2 linked regions of the Xenopus tropicalis genome follow. The protein of the gene in region 1 purifies or fractionates together with the protein of each later gene. This does not show direct contact. Links are inferred from orthologs where the notes say so. Each region holds a gene or a part of one and is shown on either strand. Other genes may lie near its edges.

Region 1 (6,167 bases):
AAGGGAGGCTGGCAGGCATTGGGGAAGGGAAGGGAGGCTGGCAGGCATTGGGGAAGGGAAGGGAGGCTGGCAGGCATTGGGGAAGGGAAGGGAGGCTGGCAGGCATTGGGGAAGGGAAGGGAGGCTGGCAGGCATTGGGGAAGGGAAGGGAAGGGAGGCTGGCAGGCATTGGGGAAGGGAAGGGAAGGGAGGCTGGCAGGCATTGGGGAAGGGAAGGGAGGCTGGCAGGCATTGGGGAAGGGAAGGGAGGCTGGCAGGCATTGGGGAAGGGAAGGGAAGGGAGGCTGGCAGGCATTGGGGAAGGGAAGGGAAGGGAGGCTGGCAGGCATTGGGGAAGGGAAGGGAGGCTGGCAGGCAGGCAGCGGGGAAGGGAGGCTGGCAGGCAGGCAGCGGGGAAGGGAGGCTGGCAGGCAGGCAGCGGGGAAGGGAGGCTGGCAGGCAGGCAGCGGGGAAGGGAGGCTGGCAGGCAGGCAGCGGGGAAGGGAGGCTGGCAGGCAGGCAGCGGGGAAGGGAGGCTGGCAGGCAGGCAGCGGGGAAGGGAGGCTGGCAGGCAGGCAGCGGGGAAGGGAGGCTGGCAGGCAGAGGGGCAGGGAAGGGAGGCTGGCAGGCAGAGGGGCAGGGAAGGGAGGCTGGCAGGCATTGGGGAAGGGAAGGGAGGCTGGCAGGCATTGGGGAAGGGAAGGGAGGCTGGCAGGCATTGGGGAAGGGAAGGGAGGCTGGCAGGCAGAGGGGCAGGGAAGGGAGGCTGGCAGGCAGGCAGCGGGGAAGGGAGGCTGGCAGGCAGGCAGCGGGGAAGGGAGGCTGGCAGGCAGGCAGCGGGGAAGGGAGGCTGGCAGGCAGAGGGGCAGGGAAGGGAGGCTGGCAGGCAGAGGGGCAGGGAAGGGAGGCTGGCAGGCATTGGGGAAGGGAAGGGAGGCTGGCAGGCATTGGGGAAGGGAAGGGAGGCTGGCAGGCAGAGGGGCAGGGAAGGGAGGCTGGCAGGCAGGCAGCGGGGAAGGGAGGCTGGCAGGCAGGCAGCGGGGAAGGGAGGCTGGCAGGCAGGCAGCGGGGAAGGGAGGCTGGCAGGCAGAGGGGCAGGGAAGGGAGGCTGGCAGGCAGAGGGGCAGGGAAGGGAGGCTGGCAGGCATTGGGGAAGGGAAGGGAGGCTGGCAGGCATTGGGGAAGGGAAGGGAGGCTGGCAGGCATTGGGGAAGGGAAGGGAGGCTGGCAGGCATTGGGGAAGGGAAGGGAGGCTGGCAGGCAGAGGGGCAGGGAAGGGAGGCTGGCAGGCATTGGGGAAGGGAAGGGAGGCTGGCAGGCATTGGGGAAGGGAAGGGAGGCTGGCAGGCATTGGGGAAAGTATAGGACAAATAAGCGGAAGGTAACGCCATGGGGCAGGGATGTAAGAATGCACTGGAGTATGGCAGCAGTTTTGGGACAAATTGCAGGGAGGGGAGCAATAGGCCAGGATAAATGCACTGAAATGAGGGAGCAGGATGTAGGGAAAGGATGCCGGGAGTTGTAGGCTCTGTAGGCACTGGCACTGTGGCAGCCAAGAGCGGACGAGGCAGACAAAAGACCTGCTACTCGGGGGGCTCCGGTACTTACAGGGTGCTCTGGACTCCCCCGGTGTTGGCCTGGCTCAGAACCTGGGTGAGCGCTTTGGGCCGCAACATATTCCGCTCAGTGCTGCAGCCTAACCTGTCACAGGGCCGCGGTCACATGAGCAATCCCACAGCCCGCCTCCCCAGGAAGTAGGCGCTAGGTATGATGGGTAATGTAGTCCGGCGAGCTCAGAATGCCGTATCTCGTACAATATCCATATAAAAGCTTCACAGAATCCTTTCCACCCAAATGGATGTCCAAATAACTGCAGGGTTCCTTTATATAAATGTCCCGAACAAGACACTGGATTAGCTGTTGCCAAGGTAACGCTAGGCCGTGAAACGCAAATCCAATAAATTCAAATAGTTTGTAATTGGTCGTGTGGCGTGTTATTGTTCCGTATTTTCAAGCCTCGCCCTCATACTCTCGTTTCATTGGGTGAGCGTGTCACCTGATTTAGAACATGACGCAGCACAGCTGGAACCTCAGTGCCTGTGATTCGTCCTCCGTGCCGGTAGGTGTCACCATGCGGCGAAGAGGTAAGTAGAACGGTCGGCGCTTTGCCAGTCATAGGAAGCCTATAATCCTCTCTTCGCGGCTTTCCTCCTTCCTATTGCTCCTCCTCGGGGTGGGCGGGTGCAGAGAAGATGGCGGAGAGCGGCGCTGATGGTGCGGCCTCCGGTACTACCGGGCCGGCTCCGGGAAAAGGACTTATTCGTGTCACCGTCAAAACGCCCAAGGACAAGGAAGAGATTGTTATTGGGGAAACGGCGTGCGTGCTGGAGGTGAGGGGCGGCTAACCCCGCCATCCTGCCTGGGGAGAGAGGGGCCAGCCCCAGCCTGAGAGCAATGGTCCCTCTGATAGAGAGAGAGGGGGACAGTCTGATAGAGAGAGGGGGACAGTCTGATAGAGAGAGGGGGACAGTCTGATAGAGAGAGGGGGACAGTCTGATAGAGAGAGAGGGGGACAGTCTGATAGAGAGAGGGGGACAGTCTGATAGAGAGAGGGGGACAGTCTGATAGAGAGAGAGGGGGACAGTCTGATAGAGAGAGGGGGACAGTCTGATAGAGAGAGGGGGACAGTCTGATAGAGAGAGAGGGGGACAGTCTGATAGAGAGAGGGGGACAGTCTGATAGAGAGAGAGGGGAACAGTCTGATAGAGAGAGAGGGGAACAGTCTGATAGAGAGAGAGGGGAACAGTCTGATAGAGAGAGAGGGGGACAGTCTGAGAGAGAGAGGGGGACAGTCTGAGAGAGAGAGGGGGACAGTCTGAGAGAGAGAGGGGGACAGTCTGAGAGAGAGAGGGGGACAGTCTGAGAGAGAGAGGGGGACAGTCTGAGAGAGAGAGGGGGACAGTCTGAGAGAGAGAGGGGGACAGTCTGAGAGAGAGAGGGGGACAGTCTGATAGAGAGAGGGGAACAGTCTGATAGAGAGAGAGGGGGACAGTCTGATAGAGAGAGGGGGACAGTCTGATAGAGAGAATGGAACAGTCTGATAGAGAGAGGGGAACAGTCTGATAGAGAGAGAGGGGGACAGTCTGATAGAGAGAGGGGAACAGTCTGATAGAGAGAGGGGAACAGTCTGATAGAGAGAGGGGAACAGTCTGATAGAATGGAACAGTCTGATAGAGAGAGAGGGGGACAGTCTGATAGAGAGAATGGAACAGTCTGATAGAGAGAGGGGAACAGTCTGATAGAGAGAGAGGGGAACAGTCTGATAGAGAGAGGGGAACAGTCTGATAGAGAGAGGGGAACAGTCTGATAGAGAGAGGGGAACAGTCTGATAGAGAGAGGGGGACAGTCTGATAGAGAGAATGGAACAGTCTGATAGAGAGAGGGGAACAGTCTGATAGAGAGAGAGGGGGACAGTCTGATAGAGAGAGGGGAACAGTCTGATAGAGAGAGGGGAACAGTCTGATAGAGAGAGGGGAACAGTCTGATAGAGAGAGGGGAACAGTCTGATAGAATGGAACAGTCTGATAGAGAGAGAGGGGGACAGTCTGATAGAGAGAATGGAACAGTCTGATAGAGAGAGGGGAACAGTCTGATAGAGAGAATGGAACAGTCTGATAGAGAGAGGGGAACAGTCTGATAGAGAGAGGGGAACAGTCTGATAGAGAGAGGGGAACAGTCTGATAGAGAGAGGGGGACAGTCTGATAGAGAGAGAGGAACAGTCTGAGAGAGAGGGGGACAGTCTGAGAGAGAGAGAGGAACAGTCTGAGAGAGAGAGAGGAACAGTCTGAGAGAGAGGGGGACAGTCTGAGAGAGAGAGAGGAACAGTCTGAGAGAGAGAGAGGAACAGTCTGATAGAGAGAGGGGAACAGTCTGAGAGAGAGAGGGGAACAGTCTGAGAGAGAGAGGGGAACAGTCTGAGAGAGAGAGGGGAACAGTCTGAGAGAGAGAGGGGAACAGTCTGAGAGAGAGAGGGGAACAGTCTGATAGAGAGAGGGGAACAGTCTGATAGAGAGAGCAGTCCAGTCTGATAGAGAGAGAAGGGAACAGTCAGAGAGAAAGAACAGTGAAGTGAAAGGAGCTCAGACTGATAGAGAGAAGAACAGTCTGATAGAGTGAGAAGAGCGGTCTGATAGAGTGAGGAGATCGGTCTGATAGAGGGTGAAGATCGGTCTGATAGAGAAAAGGAAGATCAGTCTGATAGAGTGAGGAGCCCAGATTGATGGAGAGAAAGATACGGCTGAGTGATGGAAAAGCCCAGCCTGGAAGAGGAAGGGGGAACAGTCTGATAGAGAGACAAGAACAGGCAGAAAGAACAGTGAAGTGAAAGGAGCTCAGTCTGATAGAGAGAAGAACAGTCTGATAGAGAGAAGAACAGTCTGATAGAGAGAAGAACAGTCTGATAGAGAGAAGAACAGTCTGATAGAGAGAAGAACAGTCTGATAGAGAATGTGCAGATGAGTCAGAGGAGCCCAACCTGAAAGTGAAAGAGATCAGATTGGAATAAATGGGCCGGGGCCTGATGGAGAAAGGGATGATCAGTCTGGTAGAGTGAGGAGCCCAGAATGATGGAGAGACAGATATGGCTGAGTGATAGAGAAGCCCAGCCTGGAAGAGGAAGGGATGGGTGGACAAGCAGGCCAAGCTGAAAGTGAAAGGGGTGATCAGTCTGAAAGAGAGGCGACCCTGTCTGGTAGAGAAAGGGATGGGTTAGTGCAGGGATCCCCAACCTTTCTTACCCATGAGCCACAGTCAAATGTAAAAAGACTTGGGGAGCAACACAAGCACCATAAAAGTTCATGGAGGAGCCAAATAAGGGCTGTGATTGGCTATTAGGGGCCTCTATGCACCCTATCAGCTTACAGGGGGCTTTATTTGGTAGGAAATCTTGTTTTTATTCAACCAAAACTTGCCCCCAAGTCAGGAATTCAAAATAACTCCCTGGTTTGGGGGCACTGAGAGCAACACCCAAGGGGTTGGGTGGGGGGTGTTAGAGACAGGAGCCGAGTTTAATGGGAAAAAGGAAGATGAGTGCGAGACAGAGGGGAACTTAGGCTGATAGAGAAAGAGAGGGGCCAGTCTGATAGAGGATGATGAATTTTAGAGGAGTTCTCCCTCCAACTAAAGTAATGGAGCTGAGAGTGAGAGGGATGTGGCAATGCTGGCTGGAGAGTGACATCTTAGCTTGGCTGAGGGAAATGACTCTCACAGGAAGTACTGACACATTTAGGTAAAATATTGCCAGAAAGGGAACCAGCTGCATGGACAGGAGTGGGGCGGAGCTTGAGAGAGTGGAAGTTGAAGTGGGTGAATAAAGCAACCAATGGTAGTGACCGATCAGCCTGTAACTGTGATGAAGCCTAACGGGCTCATCCTGATAGTGGGTTCCATGGAGAGTATCTACAGATATAGAGATGGAGCTTAGTGGCAGAGATGCTGGTAATTAAGCTCTGCAGGAAGGTGTATGGGGAGGTGGAGCACAGCTGGAAGGAATGGAACATGGTATCCAACATGAGAGGAGATGGATACACTGGCTACTCTGTGTTTGGGAGATACAGGGGGACCCACGCTAAGGGCTTGTGATGGTGGGTCTCCCCCTGCTTGAGAGGGATTTAGCCTCAGCAACACAACCTGAGCTCAGGCTGAGGGTAAATGGTAGCGATGGAGCTCATCTCTTGAAGAGGTGGAGCTTAGGCTGAGAGAAGAAGATGGAGCTCATTGTGAGAACAAACATGGGGCTTAGCTTGAAAGTGCAAGGGGATGAATGAAGTCAATGTTATGTAGAGATAAGATCTTCTGGAGAGAAATGAAGCTCAGCTTGGGCCAGCATGAGTGTGAGTGATAGACTGAGTGTGAGTGGGAAGCAGTGCAGGGAGACTGATAGGTGGTTCCCTGCCAGAGATTGCACTGGGATGTGTAAGGGGATCAGTATGGCAGCTTCCGCCCATCAGTGTAACTATACCCAGAGGAGAGGGAAGGAATGTGCAGCACTAAGGGAGACAATAAGTCTGCTCTTACTGTGTGTGTGAGTAAGTACAAATGCCCCACTGTGTAGGGAGACCCATTTCTGACTACAGACCTACAGAGAAGAAATGTTCTGTGCCAGCTGGACGCACTCCCCCCTATGAAT
Region 2 (4,969 bases), on another chromosome or scaffold:
GTTAATGTCAAGTCTCTGACAGGACCTCACTGTATATAAGGGAAAGTTGTTGTTATTAGCAGATCAGCATCTCACTGGAACCACTCCCACAAATTTAAAGGAAAACTATACCCCAAAACAAGTCCCTATAAATATATATTGCATAAAGAAACTCATATGTAACCCTGCTTCATCTAAATAAACCATTCCAATATACTTACTTACTACTACTTTCTAAATAGAAAATTGCCATTTTAAGAATTAAGGGATGACCCCTGGGATCATAGGATTCACAGTGCACACAAACAAGCCAAGGCACACATACATGCTAGGTCACATCATCCAATTAATGGACAGAGTTCTGCCTTCTGCTTAAACACTTCTTCCTGTTCCTGTTACAGTTAGAGCTGCATTATTTCCTGTCATGTGATCCCTGAGAAAGCACACAGCCCATTACTTAACATAATATAAACTATCTGTTGGTTAAGTATTCATTCTGGGGTATAGTTTTCCTCTAACTCTTGCAAGTGCACAAATGAGCAAGCACGTTCTTAGCAATTCCTTTAACTGATGTTAATAATGTATTAAAACACTTTTTGGATAATTTGAAAAACTTTCCAAAGAAGAGATTTGCATAATATAATAACAATATTGTTGTTACATAAAAGTCAATCATAAATTAAACTAATAAGTTTATGATTGCACTACATAAGAGTAGCAGGCCTAGGGCAGTGTCGGACTGGGGTGCCAAGGGCCCACCAGAAAACCTTAGACCTTAGGCCCACTCTCCCCTTCTCTGTATATTCACTTTCTTTAATCTCTTAATTACTTCTTTTTACATACTATTATCTATCCTTTCCCCCATTTCTTTAGTTTCTTCTCATATAGAATTGAGTAATGGCCATGGTATAGGGATACAAGGCAAATGGTAGGGTGAGCAGGAGGGCCCACTGACACCTGGGCCCACCGGGAGTTTTCCTGGTATCCTGGGGGGCCAGTCCGACACTGGCCTAGGGTAAACACTTGGTTATACACTGAAGGTTGTACACTTAAATAACGTATACAACCTTCAGAAACTCTTCCATTGATTCCCAAAGCTTTCCAACACTGGTATCCAAACTGAATGGCAGAAGCCAAAGTATTATGCAATAAATAAGAGCCCTGCTTAATAGCACTACCTAATTAACATTGTTGTTTTCTAAAACAGGGAGTTTATTGTGAGATTTTACTTTGCCTATATTATACTATACTATCAAATGTCAGTAGGTTGAAGGTTAGAAAAGAGGGTGCAGCATTGCATATAGTAGGGCACTGCCTCCAGAGAAGGCAACATTTTTAACAGCATTGCTTATGTTGCTGAACTGCATGCTTTAACCTTTAATAATTTGTTAAAGTATACTGGGGTTATAGTCTACCAAAATTTAAGTTAAGTTTGGGTGAGCAACACTGTTTGCATCTCATTTTAAAGGTGAACAAAACATTGTTGCTCAACTATACTTTAGTCAGTGGTTGCTGAACTGAACCCAGCATACTTTACCATATTGTTAAGGGTTAAAGCATGCTGGGAGATGTAGCTGAGCAAAATTAGGGTTGTGACCTGTGTATTATAAGCTTCCTTGTTTCTATTTGAAATTGAAAAGCTTAAACACAGTTTTCAGTAAATAAATATATCTTCCGACATTACGTTTGCATACAGTGTAACATAGGAAAGCCAAAATGTAAGATAACAACAAGATGGTTGATCTTTAAGATTTTGGCCTTAAGGCTTTATATCATCGTTAAGTGCCAGAACCACACAAAATAAAGTCTTGTAAAATATAAATGATCTTCTTTCTTTGCAGTACCTCAACACCTTTCTTTTTATGCTTTTACTTCCTTCTTTGTATGTCCATTTTTATACCATGTTCATCTCTGCCACTCCTCTTTGCAACTCTTCTTTTTCAATTTATTTTTTCTTTTCATAACTTTTAATGCTATGTATATATTTCTCTCTTACATTCTTTCATTACTCGAACAAAAAAATAAATAACAATCTCTATATTTTGCATTTTTCATGCATTCTTCATATCTATGAGTTCCTTCTGTGGTAAAAGTATTATGATATAAAAAATAGGAATTATAACTTTATGGTACTCTGTACAAGTATATTAGAGGAGATTATAGGCAGATAGGGAATGTTCTTTTTTTCCCACAAAAACAACCAGCACACCAGAGGCCACCCCTTTAGAGGAACGGAGCTTCCATTTAAAGCAGGGTAGGTGGTTTGTTCAAGTGAGGTAGTGGAATGCCCTTCCTAGTGATGTTGTAATGGCAGATTCTGTTAATGCCTTTAAGAGGGGCCTGGATGAGTTCTTGAATAAGCATAGTATCCAAGGCTATTGTGATACTAAATTGGTGTTGGTATATATGGTTTATGTATGTGAGTATATAGATAGGTAAGTATAGGTTTATGTGTGCTGGGGTTTACTTGGAAGGGTTGAACTTGATAAACTCTTGATGGTGTTTTTTCAACCCAATGTAACTATATATATGGTCATTTTTCACAAAACACCATAACTTTTACTCAATTACTTGCTTAGAGTGTAATGAACATTGCCTAAATATTGCCTAAAAATATTAAGAACATTCAATCATTCAGTAGCTTGCAATGTAAGAAGTTGTTCCACAGTTACTCTCTAATGATATTACTTTTATTTATAATACTGATGTGTACTTTTTTGGGATTTTAGGTAACCACTTTTGAGCATGGGTGACTGGAGTGCCTTAGGAAGACTTCTTGACAAAGTTCAAGCCTATTCGACTGCAGGAGGGAAGGTGTGGCTGTCTGTCCTATTTATATTTCGAATCCTTTTATTAGGGACAGCAGTGGAGTCAGCCTGGGGAGATGAACAATCAGCATTTGTCTGCAATACTCAACAACCAGGTTGTGAAAATGTTTGCTATGATAAGTCATTCCCGATCTCTCATGTGCGTTTCTGGGTACTTCAAATCATATTTGTCTCAACGCCTACCCTCCTTTATTTAGCCCATGTGTTTTACTTGATGAGAAAAGAAGAGAAGCTAAACAGGAAAGAAGAAGAACTTAAAATGGTTCAGAATGAAGGTGGTAATGTAGACATGCACCTTAAACAAATTGAAATAAAGAAATTCAAATATGGCCTTGAAGAGCATGGAAAAGTTAAGATGCGAGGTGGACTTCTTCGCACTTACATCATCAGCATTTTGTTTAAATCAGTCTTTGAAGTTGGCTTTATTTTCATTCAATGGTACATGTATGGGTTTAGCTTAAGTGCCATCTACACATGCAAAAGAGATCCTTGCCCACATCAAGTGGACTGTTTCCTTTCTCGACCCACAGAGAAGACCATTTTTATCTGGTTCATGTTAATAGTTTCTATAGTTTCTCTTGCCCTAAATATCATCGAGCTGTTCTATGTCACCTACAAAAGTATCAAAGATGGCATCAAGGGGAAAAAAGACCCATATTCTGCCACAAATGATTCTGTGGTTCCAGGAAAGGAATGTGGCTCCCCTAAATATGCTTATTTTAATGGCTGTTCTTCTCCAACTGCTCCCATGTCTCCACCTGGTTACAAACTTGTTACTGGAGAAAGAAATCCTTCTTCTTGTCGCAATTATAACAAGCAAGCAAGTGAACAAAACTGGGCCAATTACAGTGCAGAACAAAACAGGATGGGGCAGGCTGGAAGCACAATTTCTAACACTCATGCACAGCCTTTTGATTTTTCGGATGAACATCAGAATACTAAGAAAATGGCACCAGGACATGAGATGCAGCCCCTGACTATATTGGACCAAAGACCATCTAGTAGAGCAAGCAGTCATGCAAGTAGCAGACCTCGACCTGATGATTTAGAGATCTAATCAATCTTGATGTATTACCAGAAGGCACATTTTAAGAGTGGAGGTGGTACTAAATTCTCTCAAATGAGATTTAACAAACTTTTTTGATGAACTTTTATATGGCGAGGGAAAATCGCTTTGATATTTAAGTAGCTCATACAAATTTTACAGTCTTAAATGACTCATACAATATTTTTTTAGAATGTATGTCTAAGACAACATATGTGTTTTCAATTCACCCAAAAAGTGAAATATTTGATGTGAGCAATGTTGTTTTACGACTAGTGTCAGCCTTCTATGAGATGAGAGATTTCTTACAATGATTTTATAAATAACTTAAACAATAGCTTGACTGTTAGGAACTTTTTAGAATGAATTCTGGAGAAAGACACCTGGATGTTTTCTCAAGATGACTAGCATTTTTCCTTGCCCCTTCTCTTTTTCTGGTTAAGAAAATTATGCTTATGTAATTGAATTGCTTGATCATATGCCTTCTTAAAAGCAGCACTATTATTCCGCAACAAGCCTAGTCAATCCTTTCTGAATGGCCCAGACATTCAATAGGGGATGTCAAATCCCAGATACTACAGTGATTAACTAAGATGACAATTAATTATAAAAATGAAAAACTACTTAATTCCATAAGGATCATGTTTTAAAAGAACCAAATGTAACTATAGGGTCATCTTTCCCACCAGATCCTTATAACATTCCAACAACAGCATTATTTGTGTGGGACTATTAGAAATTATTGCGAAATCTCCTATATTATATTAATATTTTCCCTATGTCTATTTGTGGAATAATATCATAGTAAAGGCTCCTTAAATGTGAAACCCATTTTAATTCTGAAGTAGGACCTTAGTGGTAAACTATTCGGCAACCCAACTGGTAGAAGCACCTTTTGAACTGCTTACATTTTTTTTGCTGGTGCAATATTGAATAATATTTTATGATGCTGTATGTATATGTGTGTGTTAAGGGTTGGGGTTGCTTGAAGTTTGGTTCTCAAGCATGGCAGTCAATATGGGTCTGACAAATTAATCATCATTTTGAGCTGAAGTATGCAGTGAATCAGAAGAAGATGTTAGTCAAAGGCATATGTCTCATGAAATGCCTTTATAGT

Evidence for each region. The genes of interacting proteins can lie anywhere in the genome.
Region 2: the proteins of ubqln4 (region 1) and gja1 purify together in Homo sapiens (affinity purification with western blotting; 3 studies listed by BioGRID). This does not show direct contact. The link is inferred for Xenopus tropicalis from reciprocal best matches to the Homo sapiens genes UBQLN4 and GJA1.

Annotation. Positions count from the first base shown.
Region 1 is NC_030684.2:133,264,726-133,270,892, reverse strand, and holds the start of ubqln4 (ubiquilin-4), read left to right. Parts: upstream 1-2,206; 5' UTR 2,207-2,231; coding exon 2,232-2,369; intron 2,370-6,167. UniProt on the Homo sapiens protein: Regulator of protein degradation that mediates the proteasomal targeting of misfolded, mislocalized or accumulated proteins.
Region 2 is NC_030681.2:72,393,989-72,398,957, reverse strand, and holds gja1 (gap junction alpha-1 protein), read left to right. Parts: upstream 1-2,724; coding exon 2,725-3,864; downstream 3,865-4,969. UniProt on the Homo sapiens protein: Gap junction protein that acts as a regulator of bladder capacity. A gap junction consists of a cluster of closely packed pairs of transmembrane channels, the connexons, through which materials of low MW diffuse from one cell to a neighboring cell.